3 linked regions of the Danio rerio genome follow. The protein of the gene in region 2 interacts with the protein of the main gene of each other region in a biochemical or structural test. Links are inferred from orthologs where the notes say so. Each region holds a gene or a part of one and is shown on either strand. Other genes may lie near its edges. The genes, in order: fosab, ddit3 and atf3.

Evidence for each region.
Region 1: the proteins of ddit3 (region 2) and fosab form a complex in vitro, tested with the Homo sapiens proteins (2 studies listed by BioGRID and IntAct, with this or other methods). The link is inferred for Danio rerio from reciprocal best matches to the Homo sapiens genes DDIT3 and FOS.
Region 3: the proteins of ddit3 (region 2) and atf3 form a complex in vitro, tested with the Homo sapiens proteins (2 studies listed by BioGRID and IntAct, with this or other methods). The link is inferred for Danio rerio from reciprocal best matches to the Homo sapiens genes DDIT3 and ATF3.

The regions. Positions count from the first base shown.
Region 1 is NC_133195.1:49,906,067-49,910,129, reverse strand, and holds fosab (v-fos FBJ murine osteosarcoma viral oncogene homolog Ab), read left to right. Parts: upstream 1-1,400; 5' UTR 1,401-1,511; coding exon 1,512-1,616; intron 1,617-1,843; coding exon 1,844-2,053; intron 2,054-2,168; coding exon 2,169-2,276; intron 2,277-2,365; coding exon 2,366-2,992; 3' UTR 2,993-3,514; downstream 3,515-4,063. UniProt on the Homo sapiens protein: Nuclear phosphoprotein which forms a tight but non-covalently linked complex with the JUN/AP-1 transcription factor. In the heterodimer, FOS and JUN/AP-1 basic regions each seems to interact with symmetrical DNA half sites.
Region 2 is NC_133181.1:61,712,200-61,716,363, forward strand, and holds the start of ddit3 (DNA damage-inducible transcript 3 protein), read left to right. Parts: upstream 1-1,342; 5' UTR 1,343-1,459; intron 1,460-2,815; 5' UTR 2,816-2,882; intron 2,883-3,261; 5' UTR 3,262-3,324; coding exon 3,325-3,465; intron 3,466-3,540; coding exon 3,541-4,128; 3' UTR 4,129-4,164. UniProt on the Homo sapiens protein: Multifunctional transcription factor in endoplasmic reticulum (ER) stress response. Plays an essential role in the response to a wide variety of cell stresses and induces cell cycle arrest and apoptosis in response to ER stress.
Region 3 is NC_133195.1:41,075,733-41,080,034, reverse strand, and holds the start of atf3 (cyclic AMP-dependent transcription factor ATF-3), read right to left. Parts: upstream 2,812-4,302; 5' UTR 2,721-2,811; intron 847-2,720; 5' UTR 839-846; coding exon 596-838; intron 449-595; coding exon of another isoform or gene 408-448; coding exon 300-407; intron 1-299.

The sequences.
Region 1 (4,063 bases), on a different chromosome or scaffold from region 2:
AAGGGTTAAAGGTGTCGGATGTGGAAGTCAAAAGCATTTATTGTGTTTATACCAAAACTATTTTCGACTATAAAACGTTGCAATTTAGTTTTTTGCTACCCGTAAAGTATACACAATCAAAGCGGCGTGTTTATTTACCGGCAATACACAAAGCAGACTCTCGCTGCTGAAAGGTGAAACTTCAGAGTTCATTTGCACAGGCTCGTGTTGCAGTGACGACAGTGGGAGGGGCGTCGCTTAGACAACGCGGAAGATCAAACAAAACACGAGCAGAGAAGTGGATCAGTGACGTCACATGGGAACGCTGATAGAGCTGTTTTCGCTTGTTAATCAATAACAAACCTCATGTTTGCCCGTAGCCAACGGCAGACAAGTAATAAACGAAGACTTTTATACATGATAAACGTATAAATACGGACAATTAATGATGAGCAATACAAAAATGGTCCCTAAATAAACATGATTGAACTGATGTAGATGATTTTAATACATAATATAGTGATTCATATATTTTATTAAATATACTATAACGTATATATTGAAAAATGTATTGAATATAGCAGATTTAACACATTTAGACTACTACAAATCTTGCATTATTATTATTTACTGTGATGCAATAGGCTGAGGAAATAAATGAGCTCAGCATTTTGTTACAAAGGAATCCCTCGTTAACCGTGTGAAGGCAGTTCACACTGGAAATACGTGGTTTATGAGTCGACACGCCCTTTATACACCCAAAGGTACGAACACAGCCCGGGGCATGAAAGACTTTGAATACTTCTGCACAGAAATGATGAAATCTAGGACAACAGGTGCCATGTAAACACAGCATGGACGTGATATGTACTTAAAAAGACATATTCAATTTTGATCAAATGATTGTGTCAAGAAAATAATATAAAGTCATTAAATCAAGTTCATAAACTATAATAAAAATACATTTAGAGCTGATATAATAAGTATATTCTGTTAAATGCTGTTTTTATTTATTTATTTACTTGTAAAACATTGAAATCTTCTCGAACTATCTTTACATAATGCTGCTCACTTGCACAGAGTATTTCCCATAAGCACTCCGCCTCTTCAGGATGTTTTCCATATAAGTTAAATGACGTCTTGGGATACCCTGCTACGGAACATCGTCTCTTTCACTCCGTTTCACCCAGAAATAACAACATGCGAATGTTTTTAAAGATAAAATCTTACGTATTAAGCGTGTATTCTTGCATTATTAATGTTTCGATAATGTATTCAGTAAAATGCGCTCGCGAAGACGTGTTTTTAACGTTTCTATGCAAACACTGAACGCACATGGCCACGCCCCTCCCTTTGACGTCAGGCACAGATCTGGATATAAACCCCGCGAGCGCTGTGGAGCGGCAGTCAAACTTTGGATACCAAAACAGAGAAAAGAGCAGCAGACGAGCAAGGAAATACAAGACCGGAGCGTTTTTAACTTTCTGGATATATTAGCGCTGGATAGCTCGTGCTTTTCGACTTTTGACAGGATGATGTTTACCAGCCTTAACGCCGACTGCGACGCGTCTTCCCGGTGCAGCACGGCTTCACCGAGCGGCGACAGCGTCGGGTATTACCCGCTCAACCAGACTCAGGTATTTACATGACAGCAATATATTTAGAATGATCATTTCAGATAAATCATGATTTAAGTCAGTTTATTTATGTTTTTAAAGTATATTATGTTCTGTATTATGTTATAATCTGAATGAAACCCCATAAACAGTAATATAAACAAATAAATTGTATATATATTAGTTTTGTGACTAATCAAAATATATTGTTTATCATATAATAAACGATTTCATATTCTATATTTCAGGAGTTCACGGATCTGAGTGTCTCAAGTGCCTCTTTCGTGCCAACTGTCACGGCGATCTCTTCATGCCCGGACTTGCAGTGGATGGTCCAGCCCATGATCTCCTCTGTGGCGCCCTCCAACGGCGCAGCTCAATCCTACAACCCGAGCTCTTACCCCAAAATGAGGGTTACTGGAGCAAAGACCTCCAACAAGAGAAGCAGATCTGAACAGGTAAATAATTTGCAATTAACTTTTGTTTTAAAATCAACTGACAAACAACTGACAATCTACATTTTGAATGTTAATTTGCCAATGCTAAAACACCCTTATTTTTGTGCTTCTGCAGCTTTCTCCAGAAGAAGAAGAGAAGAAAAGAGTACGTCGTGAACGAAACAAGATGGCTGCTGCGAAATGCCGCAACCGTCGACGTGAACTCACCGATACACTGCAAGCTGTAAGTATTCTGCATTTTCCCTCCAAATCCCATTCTAGCTCGTTCCATCCATGACATCATTAAACTAACCCTTTGATGTTCCACAACAGGAAACTGACCAGCTTGAGGATGAAAAATCCGCCCTGCAGAACGACATCGCCAACCTGCTCAAAGAAAAAGAGAGGTTAGAGTTCATCCTCGCCGCACACAAACCCATCTGCAAGATCCCGGCCGACGCCAGCTTCCCAGAGCCGTCCTCCTCTCCCATGGGCTCCATCTCAGTCCCAGAGATCGTCACTACCTCAGTGGTCTCTTCCACACCAAACACATCAATCACGACCTCTTCCAGCAGCCTGCTGTTCTCCAGCACGGCCTCCACCGACAGCTTCAGCTCCACCACAGTGAAGATCTCTGATCTGGAGCCCACTCTAGAGGAGTCTCTGGAGCTCCTGGCTAAAGCGGAGCTGGAAACGGCTCGCTCGGTTCCAGACATGGACCTGTCCAACTCTCTGTACACTCAAGACTGGGAGCCGCTCTACACGCCGGCTAACACTGACCTGGAGCCGCTTTGCACACCCGTCGTCACCTGCACTCCAGCCTGCACCACCTACACGTCTTCCTTCATGTTCACCTACCCAGAAAACGACGTCTTCCCGACATCAGTGCATCGCAGGGGCAGCAGCAGCAACGATCAGTCGTCCGACTCCTTGAATTCCCCAACCCTCCTCACTCTTTGAGATTCCACTAAAGACTATTAGTATTTATATCTGTGACTTGATTTCGAATGGCATTGCAGGGCTATGGAAGTGACTCTAAAGCAATGGATATTGCTTCCTATATTTATCTGAACCATACATGCCTGCCACATGTAGCAAGATAAGCATGGATCAACTGATTTTATTTGCATTAATGATCTGGTTAGTGTTGAGTTAACCTAATATAGTTATTTTTCTGAGTTTACCGGTGCTAGATTTGTTGTATTTAGTGTGTTCTGAGCAATAGAGAACTATCATGTTATTTTTTTTCGGCCGTTTAACGGTTGATTTCTGAACGTGTGAATGTTGTTTACTCAAATGTGTGCTGCCTAACCATTGCATTAAATGGTCTGACGTCCAAGTATGAAGTTTTCTGTGAAAACGTAGTCTCTCTTTTAATTTATGGAGTTTTTATTTTTGTACTGAAATGTGAACTTGCGAATTGTTTGCAAAAAACAAACAAAAAAAACTAGACACAATAAATATTAAATGTATAAACTAAAAGATTTGTGTGAATGCGAGCTTATTGTGTGGCTTGAAAATACAGTTTACAGCAGTGTTTCCCAACCATGTTCCTGAAGGACAACCAACACTGCACATTTGTTGCTAGATCAAATACGGTTGAGGATGGAAGTTAACTAAGTAGACTGAGAAGGCTGTTATCGTCCATCCACATGGTTAATCATCTATAGATCACATATGGTTGCGGCCGGATGTTAGCGAGATTTATATTATTTATTAAATTTCCTATTAATTGTATTCTATTAACGGCTTCCCCCACCCCAACTATCACAGTAATGTAAAAACAGTCGATGTATGGAGTATTACTTATGCTATCTGTTAAAATAATTCATTCATTTTCTTGTCGGCTTAGCCCCTTTATTAATTTGGGGTCGCCACAGCGGAATGAACCGCCAACTTATCCAGCACGTTTTTATGCAGCGAATGCCCTTCCAGCTGCAACCCATTCCTGGGAAAGCTATCTATTAAATTACCCAATACATTTTATTTTTTAATACCCACCCCCAACCAAACCTAACAATCACAGTACTG
Region 2 (4,164 bases):
TATACTGGTGCTGAAAACAAGTTTCAGGTCAGCTCATGTTTCATGTAGTCAAATGTTTTATGATATTAAACAGAGGCACCGTAATGTGTATGTAAAGTCAGTCCCAGGGTTTTATCTAAGTGTCAATACAAGGGAAATCTGAGTGGAGTTTTTGTCTTCTGATATATCTCGTATATATGTGTGTGTTTGTGTGTGTGTGTGTGTGTGTTTGTGTGTGTGTGTATACACTAAGACTAGTCTTAAGTAGATGTTATAAAATGATAACGAATACACTTTATGAAAATTACACCATCTTTGACCCATTGGAAACATGTTCAATTTTATATTTTGAAGACCAAATGTATTTGATATTTTTATCTTTACAAATATAGAGTTTATATTTTGAACACCAGTATATTCCAATAATATGTTAAAATAATTATGATATACTGAAATATCAACTCTTTGAGTGACCTAACTAGGCTATAGGGTCCATGTTGGGGAAAACACCCGAACACAGATTAAAACCTAATCTGCTGGAGACTAATCTCTGAACCAGATTCTGACCTTTACCATCTCAACGTCACTTTATGGGCTCATTTAATGACACTAAACGGCTGTGTTGAAGCATAACAGCGGTCATATAGTTTTGTTTTATAGACTGAGTGTGTGTGTGTGTGTGTGTGTGTGTGTGTGTTGAGCTCGGGCTCTTCCGCGTGGCTCGGGTGGGGTGGAGGATCCTCAAACTCCTATGGAAGATCCTGATTCCATAGGAAACATGAAAGAATCGCCTCAGGTCACCAGAGAGGGATTATTAAAGATGAAAAAAGTGTGAACAAATGTGTTGAATATCACACGGATATTACCGTCGCCTATTTCTACAGGCGCATATGCGAACGCCAGCAGAAATGGAGAGATTTTCCTACACCCTTATAAGGCGGTTCGTCAGTTTTCTTTTTTTCTCTTTAACGAAAGGTTGTTTAATAAAACATGCTCGGGCTCTGCTAGTCTTATCTCCGACTAGAAACCGGTTGCCAACGATTGCATCATTCCTTTCATGTGACTCCCTTACGCCCCAAATTCGTCCTGGCCGTCTTATGACTGCATCACATCTGCGGCTCAACCGAACCCGCGCAGAGCGAGACAACCAGCAGAGTCGCAGAGTCCCGCCCCCCGCGCTCAGCGCGGATGCTCATTGGATGTCTCTAAGCAGAAGAATGTCCACCGCCCAGCCTCATTGGACCAGGCGGCCGACCATCTCCTGTCAGTTCCTCGTGATTTGCGTTAGGTTGCGCCTCAAGATCCTTCCCCCGGAGTTCGGTTGGAGTCTCTCTATAAATGTCCCCGGGAGTTTCCGAAATCCACACTCGGTGACTTCAGCTGAACAATGGTTAACATGAGCGATCAGCCATCTCTACAAAAACACACACAGACCCTGAATCAGAAGCAGCCGAGGAAAAGAAACAATAAAAAGAAAAGGGTGAGTGTCATCTCTATTATTCTCTGCTCTTTACTGTGATCTTCTGGACTTTTCTTGCTGTTTTCCGTCAAGATGTTTTTCCTCTTCTGGAAAACGGGAGCGCGCATGTTTTGGCGACTCCTGAGCTGTTTTTGGACTACAGTTGCTCATCTCGAGTTTCACTGGACATGTTTTATTTCTATTTCATTATTAGTTTTATCCTATTCTTTTATAAACATTTACTCCATCAGTAACTCTTTCTTCAAAACTGCGCCGTGACAGCTGTCATAACTGTACAGTCTCGCTATTTCTGACGGACACGCGACAACTTTTTTTCCGCGAACGCCTTCATATGAACTCGTATCATTATTACTTCTTCCGATCGCCTCCCGCACTCCTGTCAGCGAAAACTGCGCGACATCAACTTTTCACAGATCGCGAAATCACGCCGACGTGGTCGCGACGCAGATCTCGTCGCGTTTTTAAATCGCTGAAGTACTTTTAAAGTGCGAGTTCGCGTCGAAGTGTCGCCCTTTGTTTCCTCAGTCCTGTACTTTGATTCCATGACGTCATTGGCTCGCTGTCAGTTTCGTAAACCCCGCTCCAGATGCGCACAATTAACAACAACACTCAATCCGGCTCCCAGACCGACACACGAGCTCCATTACACTGGAATGCGTCGATCCTCCTGTCGTTATTTAAACTACTCGATTCATTCACTGAGTAACTTTAAATCCAAAAGACAACAAACACAAGGCGTGACATTTCTTATTTATCATATTTTAATACATAATAAAACCATAATGTTTAGTTTATGATGATCTCTATAAATAAAAACAACAGTGGAGTGCCGCGGGTGTGTGTTGGCTCCGCTTTCATTGTCTCGCACTCACTTCTGAAGTCCTCTGTTAGCTGTGCAGTGTGTGTGTGTGTGTGTGTGTTGTGTCTGCGCTGTTCTTCCAGCTGATCTTGTGAATAAACCCGGCTGAGAGTGAGGCTGATCCGGCTTGTTTTGACGGACAGTTTGTGCGTGTGTGTGTTTGTGCGTGCACGCGCAGAGGGCGCCCTCGAGCACACAATGCGCCTTTGTTTACATAAAAAAACACAATGACCTAATTTCACTTTCCACATTAAAGAATCCATAACTGCTATGCGTTATTATTAACTTTACAATCATTTAAGCATTGCTGAATACACACTCGGGTTCCTTTATCTCTATGCTTTATACCACTTCATTGTTCTTTTTGCTGGCTTTCCTGTTTGTGTTTGTTTCACAGATGACCTAAACATGCATTTATGTTTCATATTCTTTTATTAAATACTTTTGGTAACCATGAACTGTGGCTTGAGCTCTTTCATTTTTTGTTTATTTTCTAGAGTTATTGGGACAAAATATCGCCAACAACTCACATTCAAACTTGATTGACAAGAGTCTCTTTATAAGGTGAGCACTTTACTTGATTCATTCAAACACAGTGATGTGAAAGGAGTTTAATAAGCAACACTAAACATGGTTAATAAAGTTAAGGGACACACAAAACTCCCAGTGTTCATGCATGCTTGTGAATCTCCAGGGCTTGTTTGTTTGTTTGTTTGTTTGTTGTTATGCAGTGACGATGTTCGGCCACTATGTGTCCTTATTTCACACAGTGGCCGAGCAGTCAATCTTAATGTCGTGTATAATAATAACGGGTCACCCAGATAAAGCGCGTACTCCCCAAACCTCTCTCAGCTGTACGCTGCGCTGCGCTCAAGACGCATCGGAGGTTTTTTTCTTGCCGCTTCTTCAGCACAGTTGATTGATTTGTGGTGTCGCCGGTCAGGTCTGGTGTGCTAGGAGTGGGAGCGTGTCGTATTGTGTCTGTGGATAGCGACTGATTGGTGCGATGACTGCGGAGTGGCTGTACCCCCCTGGCGTGGGGCCGCTGTGTGGTGCAGAGTTGGAGGCGTGGTATGAAGACCTACAGGATATACTGGGCTCCGACACGGGCGGGGCCAAACTTACAAGAGCCCCGCCTTCTTCAGAGGTCAGTAGCGTCTGGAATCGTTCAAAATACGTTTAACTTTCCCTACGTTTACTAACGATTTCTTTTGTCATGCAGAAGGAGCCTGAGTTTTTGGATGTTTTGGAGAGCTGTTCGCTCACCTGGTTGACCGAAGGGCAGGTATGGGGCGACGGGGTGCAACGGGTCACCGAAGATCCGCCCGTTCACCAATCGCCACCAAGGCAAGAAGAACGAACCACGGAGAACACCTCATCCGGAGATCTCCTTCCGCCGGAGTTTTTCGAACTCCTCAGCGAAGGTGGTGTTGGTGACACCATGGTAAACGGAGGCGCTGGGTATCACCTGCATGCACCTCCATCTCCAGCCGCCAGCGAAGAGGAGGAGCTCCCGACGGTTCCCGACACATCATCCTGCTCCTCAGCGTCCCGTTCGCCTTCTCTAAACTGCTCCCCGCCGGCATCTCCACCCGTCTCCTCCTCACGCAAAAGAAAACGAGGCGGCGCACTTTGCTCTGCATCCCCTGGGAAAAAGAGCCGCAGAGAGCGCGAACAGGAGAATGAAAGGAAAGTGCAGGAGCTGACGGATCAAAACGAGCGGCTGAAAGCCGAGATCGAGCGACTGGGCGAGGAGGTGCAGAGGACGCGGCGGGCGCTTATCGAAAGACTGGTCAACACCCGCAGGTGAATGAGCAACAGGAGGACATGTAGAGAAGAAGGGGAC
Region 3 (4,302 bases), on a different chromosome or scaffold from region 2:
TAAAAATGCTTTTATTCTACTCAAAATAAAACAAATAAGACTTTTTCCAGAAGAAAAAATACTATCAGACATACAGTAAAAATTTCCTTGCTCTGTTAAACATCATTTGTAAAATTAAAAAAACATTAATTAATTAAAGGGGCCTAATAATTCTGACTTCAACTGTAGATGTAATAGATATAATGTAATCAAATACAGTTAAAAATAGCAAAAAAGATCAATAATAAAAAATAACAGATATAATATATGTTCATATAAATGTTACGTTTTTTAATCAAATGCTAAATAACAAGTAATACCTTTTGTAAATTATCGGTTTTCTCCTTTTTCTTGTTCCGACATTTTGCTGCTGCAATTTTGTTTCTTTCCCTTCTTCTTTTCCTTCGGTCGTTCTCCTCTGGGACAGCCTGAAATAACAACATCTAACAATTTGGGAAAGCCAAACTACCTAAAATGCCCACAAGTGGATGAACAAGTGAATTGTGCAAGCATGGCTTTTCTACGTCCACGTTACTCAATATAACCAATGTGAAATATGAGAAATTACACTTAAAAAAAAAAAAAACATTTGTGCCAGTAAATGAGTGGGTCTTACCTCTCGCTTCATCCCAGGTAGTTCGGTGGGTCTCTCAGTGTTCATGCAGGCTCTGTCAGTGGTCAGGGTGCTCATGCCGTTGGACATGCGTTTGTTCTGGATGGCGTAGCGCAGCTCCTCTTTCACTAATGGAGTGAAGTTTGTGAAGTCGTCCAGCGTGAGGGAGCCGGGCGGAGAGAGACAGGGAACCAAAGCTGATGCACTGATCTCTGACGGACCCAAACCAGGGTGCTGAAGCATCATGCCGAAATCTAAAAAAATACAAAACAACAGTTAAATCATGATGTTAACGAGGAAAATGGTAAGATAGATAAATAAATAAACAAGTAAAAATGTTACACCTTTCTCTATAAAACTACTGAAATAACTGTGTTATAGTTAGAAAATGATTAAGAACATCAGATTTATAGAGTAAGACCCATTAATTAAATTGTAACAAAAACAACATTTAAAAATGATCATTAAATATTGTATTTTAGAAATAAAAGTGTTTAATTGCATAATGTTATAATTATATACCATCAGTTATAATTTGTTAATAATAATAAACTATATAAACAATAGTTATACAGTTATTGTAATTAAAATATATATTCCTTGTTAAATATTATTGTCATTTATGATATTTATATAAATATTACATTTAACAAGGTGATTAATATAATATTAAATTCATTAAATGATATGCATTTTAAAGTGATAAGTGATTTTAAGTAATAAGAGATTTTAAAGTGATAAAGTTTTGATTAAGGGAGAATATTGTAGTCACAAGTTCTTGTGTTGTTAAATTTTGTTATGTTACGTTTATGGTTTATGTTTTTAAAGTTTTTATATTATATTATATTATATTATATTATATTATATTATATTATATTATATTATATTATATTATATTATACAGACACAACTGGCTAATAAAAGGCTAGATATCATGAGCAGAAAGTAATTTGGCTAACAATTTTTACCACATGTCATTCTCAATCAATCTTACAATGACAACCGTAATTTAAAAGCTCCCAGCTTCCACAGCTGTCAATATATATATATTTTTTTACAGTGACGTATTATAGATGTTTTACTCTCTTTACACAGTATATCGCTTTTTTTGTCATAAACACTCATTTTAACACACTTTTTTGTTATTTTATGTGTATGACTAGACAGGAATACATAAAGTAACGACTAGCTAACAGAATAATCTAAACCCATCAAATATTAATGAACAATTTCATATTAATAATAATATTTTAAACATTTGACTGACAGGTTTGTAGTACAGTGTAAAATAGTAAAGTTATAATCTTTAACTATTTAATGAGTTGTATTCGTATCAATCGGTTTTAATCCTTTTTAAAGGAATAAATAATGTAAATAAACATTAACGTTACCATTCAATTATAGATAGAAACTGTACAACTTACAATTATTAAAGTGCAATCTTACTCGTTACATTATTACAGTATTTATAGGGGTTTTCATAGGTTCTGGCTACCACAGCTGTCAATATTTTGCTTTTACAATGACGTATTATAGACGTTTTGCTCTCTTTATACAGTATGCTATCGCTTTTTTTTGTCATAAACATTCATTTCAACAAACGTTTTGCTAATGTATGTGTACTACTGTACAAATACATTATAGCCTACAGTAACAACTCGCAAACAGAATAATCTAAACCATCAAATATTGATTAAGAACCTTATTAGTCCTAATATTTTAACATTTAAGTGACAGGTTTTCAATACAGAGTAGGCTATATGAAATCATAATCTTTAACTATTTCATGAGTTGTATTCGTGTTACACATTGTCGATGAAGTAAACTTACTGACGTAACATTGTCGGTTAAACAATTTGAAAACAGGAGAACTTAAATCAATCAGTTTTAATCCAATTTTAATAAATATCGAACAAATATTAACGCAAAAAAACAGTAATGCACATACATTATAGCTAAATAAAAGTTCGTTAAAAAAGAGTTCGTTAACTCAAACCTAAATACAATCGCTTGACCCATAAACGCAAAAATCTCCCTTTAGTAGCCCAAACCAAGCACACCATAGACGTTTTCCCACAGCGTGTTCCAGAATAGCGATGAATAGGAAATCTACAATGCCGTCTCTTACCTGGTTGTGTGTAAATAAATGTAGGCGCGTGTGTTTGTGATGCTCTCCTGATGCCGGACTGTTCTCGCGCTCAGCTGCTAAAGTTACAGTTGTCGCCGGCTCGTTGCATCACCCCTTTTTATGGCTGGAGGACGTGAACTACTACTAGGGGCGGGGCGAGTGACGTCACCCTATTTATAGCATCAGCGGCGCTGTCCTTTCGCGATGATGCAATCAGGCAACCCTCTCCGCCGCGCACCATAACTGGGCAAACTCCCGCCCTCCCTCACAATAGTGAAGCTGACGAGCTGGCATGTTAACCTAATGAGCAAATAAAGACATATACTCGTGTAATGACAGGCCATCTCTGGTATGCTCTAATGTCATGTGCCGAATAGTTTTGAAAAAAGAGATATGAGAAAGAGAGAGAGTTTGACTGACTGACTGACAGACTGTCTGCTTGGTTTGAAAGAGAGCATATAAAATCCCTCTTGGTCTGTTAAGTTAAAAACACTTAGCCTATGTTTTCTTGTTTATGTCTTTTTTTTATTAGTATTTTTATGAAGAGATGGAGAGATGAAGCCAAGGTCAGTGTGTATATGGCTGTTTTTTTAAAAGCTTTAAATTTGGTTTTAAATGTCCACTGGCTCAGGGAAAAAACAGCTTTGAATATCTTTTATGGCGTTTGAATTTAGTTGGTTTGTTTCTGACTGAATTTAGGATTTTATCATTTAATAATAATTTAATTATTGTTATGTAATATTGTAACATGACATTTAGAGGTTTTCAGTTTTTAGAGGGTTGAATATTTGAGTGTATTCAACTTTAAAAGTTTAATTCGATTTATTACACTTTATTTGAGCATCCTTGTTACTTTTAATTATACATTATATCAAGTACTGAGTAAAATTAATTTAAGGTTCATTTTATTTGCAAATAATTATGCATTTAATTTATTTTTAGGCATATTCTGTCTAAAAAGAACACTAAAACAAATCTATCTATAAATATTATCTATCTATCTATCTATCTATCTATCTATCTGTCTGTCTGTCTGTCTGTCTGTCTGTCTGTCTGTCTGTCTGTCTGTCTGTCTGTCTGTCTGTCTGTCTGTCTGTCTGTCTGTCTGTCTGTCTGTCTGTCTGTCTGTCTGTCTGTCTGTCTGTCTGTCTGTCTAAACTAATAAGTTGGTGGATATGAGTAAGTTTTTTTCTTAATTAGTTTTGGTACATCTAATATGTAACAAAACACTATAAAATAAAAGTTTGCTTAATAAATATATAGTAAAATTAGTGATAGGCTTGTTATCTTTCTCATGTTTTTCTATTTCACTTTCCTTTCAATTCAATATTTAACGCAGTGATTTGGTGATGTTTTAAGGGAGTGGGTCGTCAGCAGTGTCTGCATTCCTCTTTTCAATGTGAAGCACAGCTTTCTTGCCGTAGCTGTTCATTATTACACAGCCCAGTCCACACTCTTTCCTATGTGTTCTGGAAATTTCCAGTAATCTCTCCTCACCGTCCTGGTGCAATCACCAATAAAACACTCCTTTATTACATACATTTGTGCTTGGACACTAAATAATGTTACCAAGGAGTCGTGT